7 linked regions of the Tribolium castaneum genome follow. The protein of the gene in region 1 binds, or shares a complex with, the protein of each later gene. Links are inferred from orthologs where the notes say so. Each region holds a gene or a part of one and is shown in the gene's direction. Other genes may lie near its edges. The genes, in order: Bx42; RNA-binding motif protein, X-linked 2; cysteine-rich PDZ-binding protein; l(2)37Cb; mdlc; SmD2; Sf3b5.

What was found.
Region 2: Bx42 (region 1) and RNA-binding motif protein, X-linked 2 share a complex: the UniProt entries of both Homo sapiens proteins name them as parts of the minor spliceosome. The link is inferred for Tribolium castaneum from reciprocal best matches to the Homo sapiens genes SNW1 and RBMX2.
Region 3: Bx42 (region 1) and cysteine-rich PDZ-binding protein share a complex: the UniProt entries of both Homo sapiens proteins name them as parts of the minor spliceosome. The link is inferred for Tribolium castaneum from reciprocal best matches to the Homo sapiens genes SNW1 and CRIPT.
Region 4: Bx42 (region 1) and l(2)37Cb share a complex: the UniProt entries of both Homo sapiens proteins name them as parts of the minor spliceosome. The link is inferred for Tribolium castaneum from reciprocal best matches to the Homo sapiens genes SNW1 and DHX16.
Region 5: Bx42 (region 1) and mdlc share a complex: the UniProt entries of both Homo sapiens proteins name them as parts of the minor spliceosome. The link is inferred for Tribolium castaneum from reciprocal best matches to the Homo sapiens genes SNW1 and RNF113A.
Region 6: Bx42 (region 1) and SmD2 share a complex: the UniProt entries of both Homo sapiens proteins name them as parts of the minor spliceosome. The link is inferred for Tribolium castaneum from reciprocal best matches to the Homo sapiens genes SNW1 and SNRPD2.
Region 7: Bx42 (region 1) and Sf3b5 share a complex: the UniProt entries of both Homo sapiens proteins name them as parts of the minor spliceosome. The link is inferred for Tribolium castaneum from reciprocal best matches to the Homo sapiens genes SNW1 and SF3B5.

What each region holds. Positions count from the first base shown.
Region 1 is NC_087397.1:9,848,808-9,852,825, reverse strand, and holds Bx42 (puff-specific protein Bx42), read left to right. Parts: upstream 1-1,365; 5' UTR 1,366-1,673; coding exon 1,674-1,687; intron 1,688-1,739; coding exon 1,740-1,903; intron 1,904-2,046; coding exon 2,047-3,470; 3' UTR 3,471-3,518; downstream 3,519-4,018. Other genes in the region: qm (terpene synthase), read left to right, coding at 1-159; ATP-binding cassette sub-family F member 1, read right to left, coding at 3,529-3,679, 3,948-4,018. UniProt on the Homo sapiens protein: Involved in pre-mRNA splicing as component of the spliceosome. As a component of the minor spliceosome, involved in the splicing of U12-type introns in pre-mRNAs.
Region 2 is NC_087396.1:22,565,046-22,567,840, reverse strand, and holds RNA-binding motif protein, X-linked 2, read left to right. Parts: upstream 1-1,156; 5' UTR 1,157-1,295; coding exon 1,296-1,309; intron 1,310-1,358; coding exon 1,359-2,145; 3' UTR 2,146-2,149; downstream 2,150-2,795. Other genes in the region: TBC1 domain family member 31, read left to right, coding at 1-361, 409-1,031; mitochondrial tRNA-specific 2-thiouridylase 1, read right to left, coding at 2,150-2,743. UniProt on the Homo sapiens protein: Involved in pre-mRNA splicing as component of the activated spliceosome. As a component of the minor spliceosome, involved in the splicing of U12-type introns in pre-mRNAs.
Region 3 is NC_087394.1:8,405,448-8,408,049, forward strand, and holds cysteine-rich PDZ-binding protein, read left to right. Parts: upstream 1-1,448; 5' UTR 1,449-1,565; coding exon 1,566-1,738; intron 1,739-1,796; coding exon 1,797-1,926; 3' UTR 1,927-2,102; downstream 2,103-2,602. Other genes in the region: Noc1 (CCAAT/enhancer-binding protein zeta), read left to right, coding at 800-928, 976-1,343. UniProt on the Homo sapiens protein: As a component of the minor spliceosome, involved in the splicing of U12-type introns in pre-mRNAs. Involved in the cytoskeletal anchoring of DLG4 in excitatory synapses.
Region 4 is NC_087398.1:7,194,517-7,197,786, forward strand, and holds the end of l(2)37Cb (pre-mRNA-splicing factor ATP-dependent RNA helicase DHX16), read left to right. Parts: intron 1-447; coding exon 448-1,828; intron 1,829-1,875; coding exon 1,876-2,094; intron 2,095-2,288; coding exon 2,289-2,472; intron 2,473-2,526; coding exon 2,527-2,751; 3' UTR 2,752-2,770; downstream 2,771-3,270. Other genes in the region: zinc finger protein OZF, read right to left, coding at 3,184-3,270. UniProt on the Homo sapiens protein: Required for pre-mRNA splicing as a component of the spliceosome. Contributes to pre-mRNA splicing after spliceosome formation and prior to the first transesterification reaction.
Region 5 is NC_087396.1:11,857,593-11,860,831, forward strand, and holds mdlc (E3 ubiquitin-protein ligase RNF113A), read left to right. Parts: upstream 1-1,499; 5' UTR 1,500-1,521; coding exon 1,522-1,639; intron 1,640-1,731; coding exon 1,732-1,946; intron 1,947-2,001; coding exon 2,002-2,474; intron 2,475-2,517; coding exon 2,518-2,695; 3' UTR 2,696-2,739; downstream 2,740-3,239. Other genes in the region: Syx16 (syntaxin-16), read left to right, coding at 1-425; vih (ubiquitin-conjugating enzyme E2 C), read right to left, coding at 615-1,035, 1,088-1,191; probable chitinase 2, read left to right, coding at 3,014-3,092. UniProt on the Homo sapiens protein: Required for pre-mRNA splicing as component of the spliceosome. As a component of the minor spliceosome, involved in the splicing of U12-type introns in pre-mRNAs. E3 ubiquitin-protein ligase that catalyzes the transfer of ubiquitin onto target proteins.
Region 6 is NC_087395.1:17,190,837-17,193,060, reverse strand, and holds SmD2 (probable small nuclear ribonucleoprotein Sm D2), read left to right. Parts: upstream 1-1,243; 5' UTR 1,244-1,343; coding exon 1,344-1,700; 3' UTR 1,701-1,724; downstream 1,725-2,224. Other genes in the region: serine-rich adhesin for platelets, read left to right, coding at 388-483; Vps51 (vacuolar protein sorting-associated protein 51 homolog), read right to left, coding at 1,981-2,089, 2,135-2,224. UniProt on the Homo sapiens protein: Plays a role in pre-mRNA splicing as a core component of the spliceosomal U1, U2, U4 and U5 small nuclear ribonucleoproteins (snRNPs), the building blocks of the spliceosome.
Region 7 is NC_087396.1:17,670,081-17,672,196, forward strand, and holds Sf3b5 (splicing factor 3B subunit 5), read left to right. Parts: upstream 1-1,145; 5' UTR 1,146-1,269; intron 1,270-1,323; 5' UTR 1,324-1,325; coding exon 1,326-1,583; 3' UTR 1,584-1,616; downstream 1,617-2,116. UniProt on the Homo sapiens protein: Component of the 17S U2 SnRNP complex of the spliceosome, a large ribonucleoprotein complex that removes introns from transcribed pre-mRNAs.

The sequences.
Region 1 (4,018 bases):
AAGAAATACTGCGTTTCGTTGCTTGAGAAATACGGAAGTTTTGATTACACGAAGAAAGTGTTGGCAGAACTGAAGCAAGAGGCCCAAGATGAAGTTGATAAGTTGGGGGAAAACCCGTACATGGCCGAAGTAATGGAGTATATTTTTAAGTTGGAATAATTTTTTCATGATCAAATTAAATTATTGTGATATCTATATTAAGTTGCTACAATAAACACTATTTCATCGATTGTTCCTTTTTTTTGTTATTATGGAGCAAACAGACACCGTGTACTGTCTGTGCTAAGACTAATTTTCTTTCTCTGAGTACTGAATAGTTAGTCAAAAAACGTTACTAAAATTAGTACCGCACCTTACAATTTCTGCATAAGAATGCTTTATTTCACCTTTTGAAGCGTCAAAATGTTTAAATTAAAGCTATAATTAATACTCAACTAAAATGTGCACTTACCAAAGAAGGGTGGAAATATTCCTGCAAATGTTCCTCCTCTGAATAAGATTGTCTTTAAATAACGAGAAACAAACCCACTAACACCATAAATCCTTACTAATACACAAACTAAACACTAAAACAGCGTTAAACAAAAATAATGCTAAACTACAAAACATGACAGGTGCTAAAAGGCGCGCCGATATTGCAGCACTACCAACGTAACAGTGTAACAGAAGTACCAACACCAAAAAAGCGCGAATTTCAATAGTAAACAGCCTTCGGTTGAATATGTTTTAGTGTTTTTAGTTCAATTTAGTGCTAGACACAGTTCTACAGCGGTTAAAAATTACAGTGTGTTATGGTGTTAGTTCCAAAATTCAAATTTCACTTTAGTGCTCTAAGGCACTTATTTATATGTTGGAGAAGTACATTTTCAAAATTAGAAGTTCACAAACACCACCAATTATTGCCAATTATCAATGGCAACCGCACGATACATGAATGTTTTTCTAAATTTTTGGAAAAATATTAAAAAATTTATTGTTTTTTGTTTATTCTACGTAAGTAAAGGGTCTGCTTGTTGAAGTAACTAGTAGCTAAAAGTCTGTGAGTGGTTGTGCATCTTTTTTTTTGGGGATACCCTCACGTTAAAAATACAGACTGATCCAGAAATACTGAGTCTGTTGGCGACACTGGACTTAAATTTTTAAGGATACTAATGGAATACGCTTCCAGTTAACAACAATTTAACATTCTTGTGGGGTTGTACGTCAAATAGTTGTCAAGAAAAATCGAATTCGGTTGCAATGTTACAAATTACAAGCACAAACACTTTCAAATGTGTTGCCAACAGACTCAGTATTTCTGGATCAGTCTGTATTTTCGAACTTATAGAACTTCGGAACAAACAATCTATGCTCAACCGCGCCCTCTACAAATCATTCCGTCTATTTGACGTTTTAGTAGTGGCGTTAATTTGGGTGTATTTATAAAACAGAATTACACACAATAATCCATTACTTAGTTGCGTTTTTTAAGTACAAATTGCTTTGAATATCGCACAGCGATAATATAATATCAAGATTTTGCGGAAATTGTTTTCCCGAAAGCCACTGTTGTGCAATCGATTTTTACATATTTTCCGATTTACTAGTGAAGTAAAACAATAAAAACTTACATTAATGAGTGCAGTGTGAATATTTTACGCTATTGTCAAGTTTTTGCTGATTTAGGAAAAGAAATGGAATTATCCAGGTAACCTAACCTCACTTTTGGGCTTGTAGAGTAAGACGCATTTATTTTGTAGTTTATTGCCCGCCCCCATACAACCCGTATGGGATCGGGACGACGAGAGACGGCAACAGAATGCCACAACTCAACGTTCCACATCTGTTGTAACAGCCCAAAGCATTGCCCCACCGTATGGACAAAGAAGGGGTTGGGTCCCACGAGTCCACACCGACTATGGAGGTAATTAGCCACCGATTTTTTGTAATTAAATTTAACTACGATGGGACCAACTTTTTTGATTGGTCCTATTAAATTTTATTACAAATAATCAGTCAAGGACGTCGAAAAGTTTTCACTATCACTGATTTTATTGCAATTTATAGATGGAGGCGCATTTCCCGAAATCCACGTGGCCCAGTACCCTCTTGACATGGGGCGAAAGGGCAAAGAATCAACTTCAAACGCCTTGGCCGTCCAATTGGACGCAGAAGGCAAAGTCAAATACGACGTAATCGCACGTCAAGGCCACGGCAAAGACAAAATCGTCTATTCAAAACTCTCCGATTTGTTACCAGTTGAAGTAACCACAGAAAATGACCCAAGTCTTGCTAAACCATCTCAGGAGGAAATCGAAGATATCACAGAAAAAACCCGTCAAGCATTACAACGCCTAACAAATTCAAAAATCGCAGCTGCAATGCCAGTCAGATGTGCCGAAAAACAAGGCCCCGCTGAATTTATTCGTTACACCCCTTCACAACAAGGGGCCGCCTTCAACTCGGGTGCCAAACAGCGCGTCATTCGTTTGGTCGAAGCACAAGTTGATCCAATGGAGCCCCCACGTTTCAAGATCAATAAGAAGATCCCAAGGGGGCCCCCTTCGCCCCCAGCGCCCGTTTTGCACAGCCCCACACGTCGTGTCACTGTTAAGGAGCAAAAGGAGTGGAAAATCCCGCCCTGTATTTCAAATTGGAAAAATGCAAAGGGTTACACAGTTCCGTTAGATAAGCGTTTAGCTGCAGATGGTCGGGGGTTGCAACAGTTGCACATCAACGAGAATTTCGCAAAGTTGGCTGAGGCTCTATATATTGCCGATAGAAAAGCACGAGAGGCTGTGGAAACACGCGCCCAACTCGAGAAAAAACTAGCTCAGAAGGAAAAGGAACAAAAGGAGGAGCATTTGAGACAGTTGGCTCAAAAAGCTCGAGATGAACGTGCTGGGATCAAAGTCGCTGATGCTAAAATCACAGATGAGGAGGAACGTGAGAGAGAAATGCTGAGACAGGACCGGCATAAGGAGCGAGCAAGAGAGAGAAACTTGGCAAGGGCTGCTCCCGATAAGCGTTCAAAGTTGAAGAGGGAGCGAGAGCGAGATATTTCCGAGCAGATTGCTTTGGGGATGCCTGCCAGAGGAGTCTCCTCAAACGAGGTGCAGTTTGATCAGAGATTATTCGGACAGGCTCAAGGTTTGGGGCATGGATATGGGGACGATGACGCGTATAATGTTTATGATAAGCCGTGGAGGGAGGGGGGCTCAATGGCCAATCACTTGTACAGACCTAGTAGGAATGTGGATAAGGAGGTATACGGTGAAGATTTGGAGAAAATCGTCAAAACGAACCGATTTGTTCCGGATAAGGAGTTTAGTGGAACTGATCGGAATGCGCCAAGGTCTGGACCTGTACAATTTGAGAAAGAGGAAGATCCGTTCGGGTTAGATCAGTTCTTGAGTCAGGCTAAACGGGCGAGCAAACGCAAGGAACCGGAGAGGAGGGATGAGAGGGATAAGCGAAAGAGAAGAGATTAAAATATTGATTGTATTTGGGTTTTTTAAATAAATACAATTGTAGAAATTTTTTGTTGTATTATTGAGCAATGGCAGCGTTTGCTGCAATACTTGGGCTGTTGATGACTTCACCCAGACTCTCCAAGAGCTCTTTGCGGTAGTCGTCGAAGTCGCCGTCTAATTCGTTTATGGTCTGGTCTTCTATTACGTACAAGGCGCAATCAGTTTCACTGTAACAAAATTAGTAATTTTTTTTTACACAAAACAATAAAATTGAGTTTTATGGTCGAGCCGAAATTGTTACAAAAACTCGATGGAATTTCATCTTAATTTAAATTAACGAACAAATTAAGTAGCTAATGCAAATTAAAAATTAAATTCACTTCTAATAGTGCTGGTAAACGCATACTTCGCAGCCTGAAATTAGGACGAAAAATATAAAATTTCTATAAAGGGAGGCGAAAAAAGAAAAGAAAGAGTACATTTATTTGCTCTTACCGTATAAGTCGTTCGTCGTGGCTCACTATAATAACCCCTCCACTGAAGTCGTTAATGGCCTCAGCTAGTGC
Region 2 (2,795 bases), on another chromosome or scaffold:
CAACGAACCTCCATTTTGAGTCTTAAAGACGATAAACAATTTCGGTGTTTTTACAAAACGCATCATCCCATAGATGTTAAAAAATTGCTAACGAAAAGTTACCACATTTTGGCCAAGACGGGCGAGGCCGTGCACCCACGGCAATATTTGAACATGTTCAAGAAAATTAATTTGGGGGAATACCCCAATTTTTGTGATTACCCCAAAACCATGATCGAGATGTCGGATAAAGAGGCCGAGATGAAGAGAGAGATGGCGGGGTTGAAAACAGACGAGGTTGATTTGTTCAGACGCCGATTGATTAGTTTGGAGCGGTTGCAAAATTTCGAAGTGGAGGAAGAAGAGAATAAGCGAATTTTGGGTAAGTTTTTGTACATTTTTTGGGGTTTTAATTAAATAAATTGTCAGAAATGGAACGCGCGATTCGTAATCAATTGTTGGAGGAGCAAACCCGTGTCCAGGAGTACTACGAAAGGGTGGCCAACCTGCGCGAAAAATTCCACCAAGAAGACAAAATTTTGGCCTCCTTAAGACACCAAATAGCGAAGGAACAGCAATTGAAAAGCCGCCGAAAATACCTATCGTCGATTATGGACGATGTCAGGTTCCGAAAAGGCGAGAAAGGTTACGCCTTGACCAAGACCGAGGACGAACTCCTCTTCCACTATGCCGAACTTTTGAAAAACAAGTACAAAATCGAAAAGTTACTAAACACTGATGAAGTTGTCACAAGTACAAAACTATCAGTTGATCAACAACAGGAACAATTATCGAACGAAATCAATTTTGTGCGGAGTAGTGAAGAGCCCCGCAAACATTTGAAGATGTTAAATCTGACAACGGGGCTTGAAGCCATGGATGCTCTAATCGAAAAAGTCGAAAGTGAGCTGGAAAAACAAAAGAGCGGGAGTGACAGTGATGCCGATCGACGCGTTGTCGCCCTGCAAGCGGAAAGCAAAGAGTTGGCGTTGAAAATTGCCAATTTAATCGAGCTACTTGCCAATTTAAGGAGTGAGGAAGTGGGCGGATAGCACAATCAATTTTATTATAAGTTGTATCGTTTCTATTTATACGTTTTATGATCTCATATGCACCTGTGATATGTTTTTAAACGGCAATAAATTTACAAACCGATGTGAAGTCGCCTTAATAGTTCCAGCCGCGGTGTGAATGCACCTTAACGCAATTAACACAAACGTCAAACGTACGTCAAATACCTAACCTATTTTTTGAACATTTGTTTTATTTGTATTTGTTCATGTTTTTCGGGGTCAGAGGCCCCACAATCACGCACCATGAATCCGTTAACGTAAGTATTGTCGATTTTTTGCCCCAATTTTGCGAAGTTGTCTTTCCAGGAACATGAAAAATGTGAAGAAACTGAGCGAACAGGAGCTCTACACCGGTAATAAAACCTCCTGGCATGACCAATACAGGGACAGTGCGTGGGTTTTCATCGGCGGTTTGCCCTTCGACCTGACCGAGGGCGACATAATTTGCATTTTCTCGCAGTATGGCGAAGTGGTGAACATAAACCTGATCAGGGATAAGGACTCGGGCAAGTCAAAGGGCTTCTGTTTCCTGTGCTACGAGGACCAAAGATCGACCGACTTGGCCGTTGATAATTTCAACGGAATCAAAATCTTGAACAGGACGATACGAGTCGACCACGTCAGTAACTACAAGGTGCCCAAACAGGGCAAGAAAACGGACGCTGAGACGAAGAAACTGTACGATGAGGGCTGTGCCCCCAAGGCCGTCCCTGTGCAAGTTCCTGTCAAAGCGCCAGTGAAGATTAAAACAGACCCTGACGATTTTCGCGAAACACTGGCCGACCAGATTAATTCTGAGATCAAGTTGCCTGAGCGCTTGCCCATTTACACGATAAAAAAGGAGAAAGTGGACGAGGAGGCGCCGCCGGAGCCTGTTGTCACGAAAGAGAAGAAGGAAAAGAAACACAAGAAGGAGAAAAAGAAGAAGAAGAAAAAGAAGTCGGACGAAAACAGCAGCGAATCCGATTCAGATAGGAAGAAGAAAAAGAAGAAGAAGGGCGAGTCAGGGTCGGATTACTCCGCTGAAGACAGCGTGTCAGAGGACGAGGATAGGAGGAAGCGGTCGCGGAGTCCGAATAAGAAAAAGCGCTGATTTACTAACATCTATTTACAGCTCTGTGCTTCATATCTTCATTATCAGTAAGCTCGTCTTCACCTTGCGTCACATTGACATATTTTTTCAAAATGTGGGAGACACTCCCTAGACCATTATTCTCCAAATAATATAGCGAGAAGTGTGAAACTCCCGTGTTAATTATTCGAGCCCCTCCGAGACACTCGCCATCTTTCGACAAGACAGCGAACTGTCCCGGAGTGATGGCCCTCTTGTACCTATTCACTTTAATAATCAGTCCTTTACTTGTTTGGCACACCTGGCATTTGACCCAATATTTGGTGTGTTGGAACTTGAAATCGCACTCCAAAACCCCGTTTTGTAAATCAGGGGGCTGTGAGTGGATCCAGTGGGGCTCACTGGTCAAAATTATGTTCGTGTAAAGTAACGGGTGTTTTGTCCCTTTGACTACGTAAATTATGTTCTTGTCTACGTCTTTCCGGGCCACGAAATAAGGGCTTTCGTAGCTGTGGAGGCGCGCCCTTTGCCCCAAAGTCCACTGGTGCACCCCATTGTGTTGACCCACGACTTTCGCAGTGTCAACGTCCACGAAATCGCCCGGTTTATCATCAATATACTGAAAAAAATGTTTAGTCAAGTGACCAGTGCAAAGCTTCTTTGACCAATGA
Region 3 (2,602 bases), on another chromosome or scaffold:
TTACGTTGAATTTTTTTCCACACCATTCACACTTTGAGTTAGCAACAATTTTTTATGTATCTTTTGCACAAATCAACTTTTAAGCATTTGTTGTCTTAGAATGTTATAAGAAGTAATAAAAAAAAATGTTTGCACCGCACAAAATATATTAAAACATATTTTCTGAACTTACCTTTAAATTTTAATTTTAAATTTTTTTTTAGTTTTTTTTTTTGAAAACACGAATGTTCGGTAACTCAAAATATACTTTTTCAAATTATTGTGTATGTTATATCAAGTAGGTTGAGGAAGTCTAAATATTTAATTTAATTTAATGACCGGAACAACATTATTAATAACAAAAATCTTTTTTTCTATATTAATTACTTTGTTAATTTTAATGAATTCTTTTTCTACCTCAGAAGCTTGAGTACACGTATTTATTGGAAAGAATAATTATAGAACAGATTAAGATTCATAATTAATATAAAAAAGTATATTTTGCTGACAACTGCTAATTTGTAGAAAAGAATTGTAGAAAAATTTTGAAAAGAATTACATAGATAAAAAAAATTAAATATTTATTAGCAAACGCTGGAAACCAGACAGAAATGCCTAAGTTTGTTGTAGATTAAGTTTACAAAAATAATAATAATCTGAGTGATCAATGATTTTAAATCTAAGTTGGCCACAATAACTATCAAATCTAAACGTTAATTTTTGTACTCGATTTTTAAATTTCACCTACAATTTATAGTACCAATAATAAAAATAAGTGTTGCCAACTTAATTTCAAAATGTATTTTGCTCTGTTTTCCAGAACGGACAGATGATGATGATAGTGATGACGATGATAGCGAGATGGAGGATGCTTCTGACGAAGAATTGTCAATGGACGAAGATGAAGATTTCGATGAAGATGACCTTGAAATGAACGATGATGACAAAAGTATATTTTTTGTAATAATAAAACACAAAATTATCCTTTGCTTGCAGTGCTTCTGGGTGACTTAGACGACGATGAAGACGAGGAAGTTGTTTTTGACGATGAAGAACCGAAGTCAGCAAAATCAAAGAAGAAAAAATCCAAAGACACAAACTCAATATTTGCATCAGCTGAAGAATTTGCCTCATTGCTTGACGATGAAGGTAGTTCGAAAATAGCCCCAGGAAGTTCAAATGCGTTATCAAATAAGGATAATGCGAGCACTAAACAACTTGCCTGGGAACAGAGTAGAAATAGGTGGTTGAAGGGATTTGATGAAGTAGTTGGCAAAAAGAAAAATAGTAAAGGTAGCAATTTTGGCAAGAAAAGGAAAGGTCCAAATAAATTTAATAATAAGGCAAAGAAGAGGAAGAATTAATAATCGACAAGGAAGCAGTCGATTGCATTTTAATTAATATAATTCTTTACGAATCCACCAGTTTTGTGTTTTATTTAATTCGTGTTGGTTGTATTTCGCGAATATACAACTACACATAACCCATAACCTAACTTTTCGTGACGTTTAACAGTACGTTCTGTTTATTATCTTCGTGTTTACAATTTCGTACCAAATTCACAATAATTATCGTGTTTTGTGAAAATGGTGTGCGAAAAATGCCAAAAGAAGTTGGGCAAAGTGATAACACCAGATCCTTGGAAAAGTGGGGCTAGAAATACAACTGAGTCAGGGGGTAGGAAAGTTAACGAAAACAAGGCTTTAACAGCTAGCAAAAACAGATTTAATCCATACACGTCCAGTTTTGAGACTTGCAGGTTTGTTAATGCAAGTAATCCTTAAAATTGATTTACTCTTCTCATGTTTTTATTGTAGAATATGTAGGCAAAAGGTGCACCAGGTTGGGTCACATTATTGCCAGTCCTGTGCTTATAAAAAAGGAATTTGTGCGATGTGTGGTAAGAAATTGTTGAGTACGAAGAATTACAAACAATCGTCAACTTGAACTACATTTTGTGTGTTACTTTTAAACAAAATTAAGCCTATTCTAAGTTTTAGAGCAATTTGCATTGTTTTGTAGGTACTGTTAGGTTTTCTGTCTGTATACAGTGAGTGTACGACAATTTAATTATCTTGAATGATAAGGTGTGTAATTATATTTAATAACTTATGACAAAAGTTTTTTATTTCATTTTTATGATAACATTTTTAACTTATTAATTCATTTCTACCTATTCTATCCCTATTTCTTTTTTGTTATTAAGGTTGACTATACATTATTAAAACGCAACTATCAAATATTCTAGAATTATTATTTGGACTTTTTTATAAACTAAAAAACTGTACCTGTAATATTATTTCCACAAAGTTAAAATACGATTTTGTCTTATTGCACTAAAAAAATAATTGAAAAAATTGATGTCTGTCGTATTATTAAATACTTCTAAAAGTGGCTACACTGTATATAACCTTTTAGAAATGAATTTCAGCGATTGGATTTTAAAAATTCACTTCCCTGTATATAAAAAAAACGTGACGAAGTCGTAACAAAATTCAATGAATCAGACAAACCTCTTTGTTTTCCACCTTGCAGTAATTACTTATCTCAGTGATTATATTTTTTGTTGGTGACGTTTTATCCATACACTTACACAATACTGCCGTTTAATTTTATTCAGTTT
Region 4 (3,270 bases), on another chromosome or scaffold:
ATCGTTTCTTAATAAAATAATGATTAATTATTTTTAAATTTACTATCAGACTTTAGCAGTTTTCTGAATTTAAAAAAAATTAAATAAATCAAAAAATCACAATTTGTAGATGTGTCAACATTGGGCATTATTTCCTAGGAAACCGTTTCAAAAATAATTAATTTTTATTGTTGAACAAATTCTATTGCGATCACGACTATTAGACAACGTTGCCACATATCATTTATTTAAAATTCGGTATTTATCAATAACTGTAATACAAAGAATTTTTTACTATTTTTACCTTTATATTTAAGCATTTCTCTACCGCACATCATTGAATTGGTGCGCCGGTTTTTGAGCACCCGGTACATTTTTTAGGGGTATTAGGATTTTAAAACGATGAGATAAGAACTAGTCTGTGAGGTATTAAATTGGCAAAATTGTACCAAAATAATCAATAAACAGGCACACGAGAGAAGAAAGAGCCCGAACTAACCGAAAAGGAAAAAAAGAAGCTCGACATCCAAGAAACGAAGAAAAACCTCCCAGTCTACCCGTTTCGCGACGACTTGATCCAGGCCGTCCGCGAGCACCAGGTCCTAATAATCGAGGGTGAAACCGGCTCTGGAAAAACAACCCAAATCCCGCAGTACTTGCACGAAGCCGGCTTCACCAACGACAATAAAAAAATCGGCTGTACGCAGCCACGCCGTGTCGCCGCCATGTCGGTAGCGGCCCGCGTAGCCCAAGAAATGGAAGTCAAACTCGGCAACGAAGTCGGTTATGCGATCAGATTCGAAGATTGCACATCCGAACGTACAATCATCAAATACATGACCGACGGCACGCTCCACCGCGAATTTTTATCCGAGCCCGACCTGCAGTCCTACAGCGTCATGATCATCGACGAGGCCCACGAGCGGACGCTACACACGGACATTTTGTTCGGTCTGGTCAAAGACATCGCCCGGTTTCGCCCCGACTTGAAACTGCTGATTTCGAGCGCAACGCTCGACGCGCAAAAATTCTCCGAGTTTTTCGACGATGCGCCCATTTTCCGCATTCCAGGCCGGAGGTTTCCGGTGGATATTTACTACACTAAGGCGCCAGAGGCCGATTATGTGGACGCGTGCGTTGTTTCCGTTCTACAAATTCACGCGACTCAACCGTTAGGGGATATTCTTGTTTTTTTGACCGGTCAGGATGAGATTGAGACGTGTCAGGAGTTGTTGCAGGATCGGGTTCGCCGGTTGGGCTCCAAAGTCAAGGAACTGATTATTCTGCCCGTTTATGCGAACCTGCCAAGCGACATGCAAGCGAAAATTTTTGAACCGACGCCTCCAGGGGCCCGGAAAGTTGTGCTTGCGACAAATATAGCGGAGACTTCTTTAACGATAGACAATATAATCTATGTTATTGATCCCGGTTTTGCCAAACAAAACCACTTCAATTCGCGGACTGGGATGGAGAGCCTGATTGTGGTGCCAATTTCGAAAGCCTCGGCTAATCAGAGGGCTGGGAGGGCTGGCAGAGTGGCGGCCGGGAAGTGTTTTCGTTTGTACACCGCCTGGTCCTACAAGCATGAACTGGAGGACAATACCGTGCCGGAAATACAAAGGATTAATTTAGGCAACGCTGTACTGATGCTGAAAGCGTTGGGGATTAACGATTTGGTGCATTTCGATTTTCTTGATCCGCCACCACATGAGACACTTGTTCTGGCACTGGAACAGTTGTATGCTTTAGGGGCGTTGAACCATCACGGGGAGTTGACGAAGTTGGGGCGCAGGATGGCGGAGTTTCCGGTTGATCCGATGATGGCCAAAATGTTGTTAGCTTCGGAAAAGTAAGTTTGGCTTTTTGTGTGGGTTTGTTACTGTTTGCTTTTTGCAGATACAAATGTTCAGAGGAGATTGTGACTATTGCGGCCATGCTTTCGGTCAATGGGGCGATTTTTTACAGGCCCAAGGATAAAATTATTCATGCTGACACGGCACGCAAAAATTTTAATCACATAGGGGGTGACCATCTGAGCTTGTTAAATGTGTACAACCAGTGGAGGGATTCCGATTATTCCACCCAATGGTGCTACGAGAATTTTATACAATACAGGTGATTTCTCTTATTTTTTCTGAAATCTGCCATAAAAGAAAAATAAAATAAAGAAAAAAGAATGAAAATGTTTCAAACTAACCGGTTCATCTTCAGTACTTTAAAAAAATTAGAAATATAAATTAGAAAAATATAAATTTCAAGTTATCTAGTTGTTGAAGATACGTAAATAATTGTGCTTTATTTTGTTGTAGATCTATGAAAAGGGCTCGCGATGTGAGGGAACAGTTGGTCGGTTTAATGCAAAGGGTTGAAATCGACATGGTGTCAAATATAACCGAGGCTGCAGACATTAAAAAGGCTATAACCGCCGGTTATTTCTACCACATTGCTCGGTTATCCAAAGGAGGGACTTACAAAACCGTTAAACATAATCAGGTTTTAACACCAAAAAAATTATAGTTTTCTTTGTACTGAGAGAAATTGTTTCAGAGTGTCACAATACATCCCAATAGTGCCCTTTTTGAGGACTTGCCAAGATGGGTTCTTTATCACGAGCTGGTTTTTACCACCAAAGAGTTTATGAGACAAGTTATAGAAATCGAGAGTAAGTGGCTTTTGGAGGTTGCACCTCATTATTACAAGCAGAAGGAACTGGAGGATTCTACCAACAAAAAAATGCCAAAGACTGTCGGGCGTAGCACCAGAACTGAATAAAGATTTTTTAGAACCGAAAGCTTTTTATTATAATAATGTAAAAAATTGAAGAAGTAAAGCAGTTTGGTATTGTTGGAAAAAATTCTTATTTCTTCTCATGCAAACAATAGAACAGTAAATAAATTGCTTGTAAATGCAAAAGACACTATAGAAAAATAAAAATGTATTAGTGATAATACAATATACAAATATAAGTGTAAATACTTTACTTTTGTAAATAAAATTACGAAATCGAAATAATTTGTTTTTATAAAAAAAGACAATGAAAATAATAAACTAATCATAATGAGATGAAAATACTGAAAGGCGATAATAAAATAGCTTTTCTCGTCTAATTATTTTTTGGTTTTACCAATTAAAAAAGGGCATAAAAATATATAGCCCTTGTGACTAGTATTTATTCATAAATAAATTTATAAAATCTCCAAACCTTCACTGTTTTTCATGGCCTTTCATGTGCGTCCTCAGGGCGCTGCTCTGCACATAGGCCTTTTCGCAGAGCTCGCACTTGTACGGCTG
Region 5 (3,239 bases), on another chromosome or scaffold:
ACCGCGCAAAAATCTACTTTGATAACCAACTCGAAGACGAGGATTTGTACAACAGGGAGGCGGATGACATTGATACCTACTTCGTTAATTCCAAGCAGATGAGCCAGCAACAACTGCTGTTGCTGGAGGAGGAAAACACGCGGTTCGCGCAAGAGCGGGAGCAAGAAGTGAACGCAATTGTTAAGTCCATTGTTGACTTGAACGAAATTTTCAAAGATCTCAGTCAGATGGTCGCCGACCAGGGGACAGTTCTGGACAGAATTGACTACAACGTGGAACAGACGCAGATCCAGGTCTACGAAGGCTTCAAACAGCTGCAAAAGGCAGACGCTTATCAGCGGAAAAACCGCAAGATGTGCGCGATCCTTGTATTGGCTGTAACCACAATTATTTTATTTTTTACCTTGATTATCGTGAAATCCTAGTCGTGATAACGTATTTTTATTCGCTAAGCCAAATATTTATTTATGTAAATAAATTATTGAAACTTGATCGTTTTATTCAATCATAACACACGAGAAATAGTAAAAATTATATAACACAAATATGTACGCAGTCTATTATTACACAATGACATCTTAAATAACTGAAATTTTTCTAATGCGAGATCAAATTTAGACTTCCTTGTACGACTCTAACACCAGCTTTTTGTACTCTTCTTTTTTCTTCCACTTGTCGGCGGCCGTCGTGTTCAGCGGACTCCTCGTGTTTGGTTCCCCTAACAAGGCCTGAATTGATAACAAAATTGTTCTAACGTCATAAAGCGCCGACCACTTCTCTTTTAAAATATCTAAGCAGATGTTCCCACTGGTGTCGACGTTGGGGTGAAAGCAAGGCGTGATGAATTTTACTACGGGGGCCGCGTAGGGGTACGAGTTCGGGAATTGTAAACTTAGTTTATATTTTAAACTCTCATAAACCGTGTCTTTGGGCCCCATTATGGTACCTACCCACTTGAACAGGTTGTCGCCCTCGGGAAACGCCGAGATGCTCTTGTCTTCGGACATCATCAAAGTCATAAGCTCTTTGTGCAATCTGCAAATCGAACAAAGATTAGCACCCCAATTTAGACTCACTTTTTGCCCACCTTTTTGTCACTGCGTGATTATCGTTCGATACCTTCTTGGAACTTTCGGCCTGCTTTACGTTCTCGGGCACTTGCTCCACGAACGGATTGAAATTTTGGGCCATTTTTACCACGTTCACTAATAAATTATCCTAATTCTACTTTAATTGATTTGTAGAAAATTCGTTACGATGCAGATGGATGCCAAACGTCAACGCACTTTCAAATTTAGCCAATCAGGAACCGTCACCCATAACTACCAACAGAACCGCGAAAGCAATTAACATTCAAGCACTTGCTATTACCATTATGACGCACTAGGAAAACGTGTAATTACAAATTCAAATTAGATTAAATTGCTTTGGCTCAAGTCTAACACCACAAAGGCGTTATTGAGTTTTGAAATTTTTGATATTTTGTTTGGCGTCAGCACTGACACTTGACACTTGTCAAAGATGGATGATCCGCGTGACGTTAAAACAGGACTTGATGAAAGTTGCACTTTTATATTTAAAAAACGGAATATAAAAAATAAAGGGGCGCGGAAGCGCCAGAAATCCAGTTCGGAAGGAGGTGGGTACCCCAAATCCGTGAATTAACCTTCACTGTTGTTGTAGACTTAGTTTTCGTGTTTTAAAGGTTATGTTTGTTTGCGATTTCTTCAGAAAAGTCCAACAGTGAGGACGAATCTGCGGTGAAGCGGGCGAACCGGCGTCGGGGAAAAGCAAACCCCAACTTCCAAACCACAAGCAAAGCCAAACAAAAAGAACATGAGCAGCAGAACTACTCAAGCAGTGAGGAGGAAATTATGGTTAGTTACAAGTCCAAACGGTCCGCTATGCCTGAGGGACCTCAAGATCAGGGAGCGACGGCGACTCTTGTAAGCCACTTAACCACTCACTAGTATTATCCAATCAATAATTATTTAATTAAAGGAGTTTGAAACTGAGCGCGATCGTGACGCCCAAGCCATTTTCGAGAAGCGGCTAGAAATTAATAAAAATCTTGAGGGCAAGGAAGACGATAAAGTCTACAGAGGCATCAACAACTACGCACAGTACTACAAGCCCAAAGACACGGCTGCGGGCAACGCCAGTTCGGGAATGGTCAGGAAGGGCCCCATCAGAGCCCCCGCAAACCTGCGTGCCACCGTCCGGTGGGACTACCAACCCGACATTTGCAAGGACTACAAAGAAACAGGCTTTTGCGGTTTCGGGGACAGTTGTAAATTTTTGCACGACAGGAGTGACTACAAACACGGCTGGCAGCTTGAGCGGGAATGGGCGGAAGGCAAATATGGGCAAGAAAGCGACGAGGATAAACAATACGAGATTGACTCGGACGAAGAGGATTTGCCGTTCAAATGCGTCGTTTGCAGGGACAGCTTCGTGGACCCGATTGTCACAAAGTAGGAGGCACCTTTTACGAGTCTTTATTACAGTTAATTTTAGGTGCAAACACTACTTTTGCGAGAAGTGCGCCCTCGAGAGGTACAAGAAGACGACGAGGTGCTTCGTCTGCAACACGCAAACGAGTGGCGTTTTCAACCCCGCGCGGAAACTCATAGCGCGGCTGAATCGAGAGGATAATCCTAAGAAAAAGAATGACTCAGATTCGGATTCCGATTAATGTTTTTGTAAATTGTGTAATAAATAAACAAATAAAAAATTGAACTGGTTTTATTCCAATCCCACACGTGAAGAGGCGAGTGAGACAGAGAAGACGCTACTTCTTAGTGAGGTGCGGCTTCTGAGTGAAAGGTATAGTAACAGTCAAGCGGGTAACCCCCAACTGGACACATTCATTGTATCTTTCTCTGTCTCAAAAGTACCAAAAACGCGCGCGCGAAAGAGAAAGCTGCTACCTTGCCATTATAACTGTAATATATATTGTACAAGAAATATAAAGTTCATCTCTCATTTGTGCAAAAGTTGCGAGAATACCAAGATGGTATCACTAAAAAATGTTTGTGCTGTTTTTGTGATTTTCGTAGTGACTTTCATGGATGAAGTTAAGGCCCTTACTGGTAAGGAATCCAATTGGTTCCTAATCACCGTTAATTGTTTTTCTAATCACCGAGTTATCACAGTATTGTGTGGTAATGCATTATGTTAATAAGATTTTTATGTGACACAACAGTTAAATAAAAACCGTACGGTGAAACGATGATATT
Region 6 (2,224 bases), on another chromosome or scaffold:
ACCCCTTTACTCTCTAAAACATTACAAAATTAACACTAATAGCAAGTGCTTGGAAAATTTTCGCGTATAAACGCCCGGAAAATCATTTCCAAATCAAACTCCTCTACATAGAACTACTCTACATTTCCCCAAAAATTACCTGAGCAAAAGTCCACTCTTATAAACACTTGCGTCAAAAATAGAAAATTGCCCAACACAAACAATATCATTGAATACAGCGCGTGTATCTCGACACAAGAGGCATTCAGCAAGCAGCCGTAAGCATCGGCTATTATCCTATTTAGTCCGAAGTGGCCCCTAACGAGATTTAAATATGTTCATCGTCGATGTCAAACATATGAACTTTATTCCATTCATCTGGTCAATTGATTAATTGAATTAAGGTAGGCACACGAAGACCGAACTCATGAAAAACGAAGCCTCAAATGCGGGACCTTAGACGGGCGGCGACAGGAAACGCCGCAAATGAGGAAGTCGAATTAAGAATTATTAAATCTGACAACGTGTGACAAGAAAACAGACTTTTTTTGGTGATTTTCATCCATGCGGTATAAAGCAGCCAGACCGAGGAGATTTCAAAAACATCACCTTCGGCGCAACTACTTAATACCGGGTGGACAAGAGGCTTTCTTCTGGTGCGTTTCTTCAAGTATTTAATTTATATAGCGGGACGGGGTGGTTTATCGGCTCCTCACTGCATTTTAATGATTATTCTATTATTATTTGCGTTGGCATTGCTTGTATACTTAAATAAACACGCTGCTGGAATAATTACTTGCACTGGTTATCTCTTATTGTTATACTTACTATAAATAAAGAGTGATTATTGTTTATCGTAATTATTTAATTTTCGATTCTGGGGCTAACAAATTGCTGGGAATTAAACTCCCTTCGTTGGAAAAATGCACTGCAATACTCGTATTTGCAATATTTATTACATTTTCTAGTTAAATTATAATAAACGGTGCATTCCCCTATCTGATTCATTAATAGCTTGTTGCTCTTATATTTAACGTCTTCATCTCAATGGATTATAAATTGGTTTATTTGCTCGATTTTGTAATTAGTTTTTAGATCGTGGTTTTTGAGTATGTTAAAACTCTTAATTAATTATTCAAAAGAGTAATCTTAATGTAACTTTAAATGTGAGAAGAATAATTGTTGATTTAATTCGAAGTTTGTTTTCTTCACTTTAAATGTTTGAATCTGCCGCCATAGTATTAAACCCAGTTTGCGCATGCGCATTGCAAAATTCCCCAAACGCATCCAAAACGCTCAAATTCCTAACCTAACTATTTTTGTGCCGGAAAAAGTGTTGTTTTAAGTGCAAAAACCGAGTCAGAATGGCTTTAACGAAACCCAAGTCTGAAATGACGGCCGAGGAGCTTCAGGCTCGCGAGGAGGAAGAGTTCAACACGGGCCCCCTTTCGGTGCTCACTCAGTCGGTGAAGAACAACACTCAGGTGCTGATAAACTGCCGAAACAACAAGAAATTGCTGGGGCGGGTGAAGGCGTTCGATCGGCACTGCAACATAGTGTTGGAGAATGTGAAGGAAATGTGGACAGAGCTGCCCCGGCCTGGAAAGGGGAAGAAGAAAGCCAAGCCGGTAAATAAGGATCGGTTCATTTCGAAAATGTTTCTGCGAGGCGATGCGGTTATTATAGTTGTAAGGAACCCCCTAGCTACGGCTAGTGGTTAATTAGGAATAAAATTTGTATCTTCAGTTTAGTGTTTATTGAGGAAATTCACTTACCTATCACTTCACTCGTGTGGTCCTTCTGTTCTGCGGTTGATTGATACCGCGAACGTGATACTGTGGAAATATCACATTCATGTCGTTGCAAATGAAAGATTGAACGGTTTTTTAACATTTATCTATAAAAATAATACAACAAAATGTGATAAAATTTCTCCTTTTTATTTAAACAAGATAATACAAAAGAATAATAAATATTTGTAACTTATGCAAGCTGCATGACCTAACCCCTTTCACATATGATGTCCACAACGCTTGGTTCCATTAAAATCGGTTCCAGGCACCTGTGGACTGCTGATCCCAAAATCTCATCCAGGAGGAAATGAACCAAGCTGGAAAATTCAATTAATTTCACTAAATTCAAATTCGTGACGTACTTTTCATCCGCAACAAATCGCCACAAATACAACTGCAAGTAATGCGTGTCCACTTGAATTTGTTGGAGGCCAAATTTACTAAAAGTCTTC
Region 7 (2,116 bases), on another chromosome or scaffold:
CCAAAAAACATTTAATTTAATGCTCCGTTAAATTCGATTATGAAAGTGGGCCTACATTTTCGATGGCAAGAAATAAAAGCACAAAAATTATCATAAACAATATTAAAAAAAGCAAACTTTCACCATATTTTTTAAAACGCTGCAAATATGGTTGAAAAAAGTGTATAGAATGCTTTTTTCCGAGAAAGTCTGCCATATCATATTTCTATCATTAACCATTTATTAGGTTTAAACAAATTTAGCGTGAGCGGCTGAAATATGGCCTCAAGAATTTTTTTCCACAAAAAAATGTCTGTTAGCTGTTTCAAATTTATAAAAACGCCAACGTTGCATTTTACCGATTTTATTTTTAAATAAGATTGATAAAAATATGAAATAGTTATTATTGATTAAATCTCTTATTGAAACTATAAATTACATTAGTTATTATTTTTTTGAAGTGCATGAATAATTTATAATAGCTAATTTTGAGAGAAAATGCGACGTTAGCGTTTTTATAGTTTTGAGACAGCTAATAATATACGTATTTTTCCCCATTTTTTCAGTTCGTCTCCTTTTTTCTCAAAACAGTTAAAAACTGACCAAATAAACACATAATGTCTATATACGTAAAAAATTACTAAGTATAAAAACTAGCATAACATAATATAATAATAAATAATAGTATATTTAAAAACAAGTTTTCTATGGGATGAGTGCGCCAAAACCCTTATAAAACGAGAATGTTTTTATGATTTTTTCTTATTTTAATTAAATTTTTTTGTCGTCTAGGGAATTTCGTGTCAGTTGGTGACGGTAATAAATAATAAATAAAGAAGAAATGATGATTAAATCGATCGTACGTGTATTCCACGCATTATCGATGAAACTCTTGAAAACTAAATATCCCTAAATTCATTAAAGTACACTGTACTTTAATAGCCATAAACGACTCCTACTGATATATGTTAATACACGTGTATTATAAACGAAAAATATAATATAATAATAGAGAGACTGACCACTATCCTGTTACACTACAAAACGAAGGATTTTTAAGGCTCATATTTACAATTGCGCGTTATTCAAGTGAAAATAGTATAGCATTTTTGGTGGCACCTAAAGAAAATTTCAGAAATACAACACACCCTGTATAATAAATGTTAGCGAGAGGAATAAAAACCTAGGGACTTTTTTGCTGCCGAACAACAGTGGCAACCCTAACATTTAACACTAATGAGTAGTGAGTTGAGTTCGAGGTTAGGTGAACTTAGGAGCATCAAAACAAAAGTGTGTTTCTTCTTTGTGTGTCTCTATTTCGTAATTTACTGCAATTTGTAAAAGTAATGGGCGACCGCTACAACATCCACAGCCAGTTGGAGCATCTCCAATCGAAATATATCGGAACAGGCCACTCTGAAATAACGAAATACGAATGGCTGCTGAACCAGCATAGAGACAGTTACGCCAGTTATTTGGGGCACCACGATTTGTTAAATTATTTTGCGATTTGTGAGAACGAGGCAAAAGCCCGAGTTAGGTTTAATCTAATGGAGAAAATGCTTCAACCGTGTGGTCCACCTCCAGATAAACCCGAGGATTAGATTATAGTAAAGTCAATAAAAATTTTCATATAATCGTTGTTTTTTTTAAAAGACCATTTTAGAATTCTTCCGATAACTAAAATAATTGTAGCCGAAAGGTCTACTTTGTATTTCATTTCGCCTTTATTAGAATAGAATACCTACTTTATTTGTGTCAATACTAATTGCACTAATAGAGTATTCCACACACGCCGCAAAATTAACTTACATTTAAATAGGTATTACTGTATTACATAGGCAAGATATCACTAAAATCATTCCGAAGATATGTATTCCTTAATCGAATAAAAAGTTTTGGAAATTAAATAGTGTTTCAAGTTCTTTAATAAAAACATGGAGGAAAATTTCTAAAGGTAGTGGAAGGGCATTTAAAAATGTATTTATTTATTACCCTTATTAGGAATATAATTTTTTCTAGTACAATAATTTATGACTTTAAGAGAATATTCTTAGCTTTAGTTCGCTGCATTTTTATAAAAAAAAAACAGATTTTCAATATATTTATTTTTTATTTACCAATTATAGTGACAATA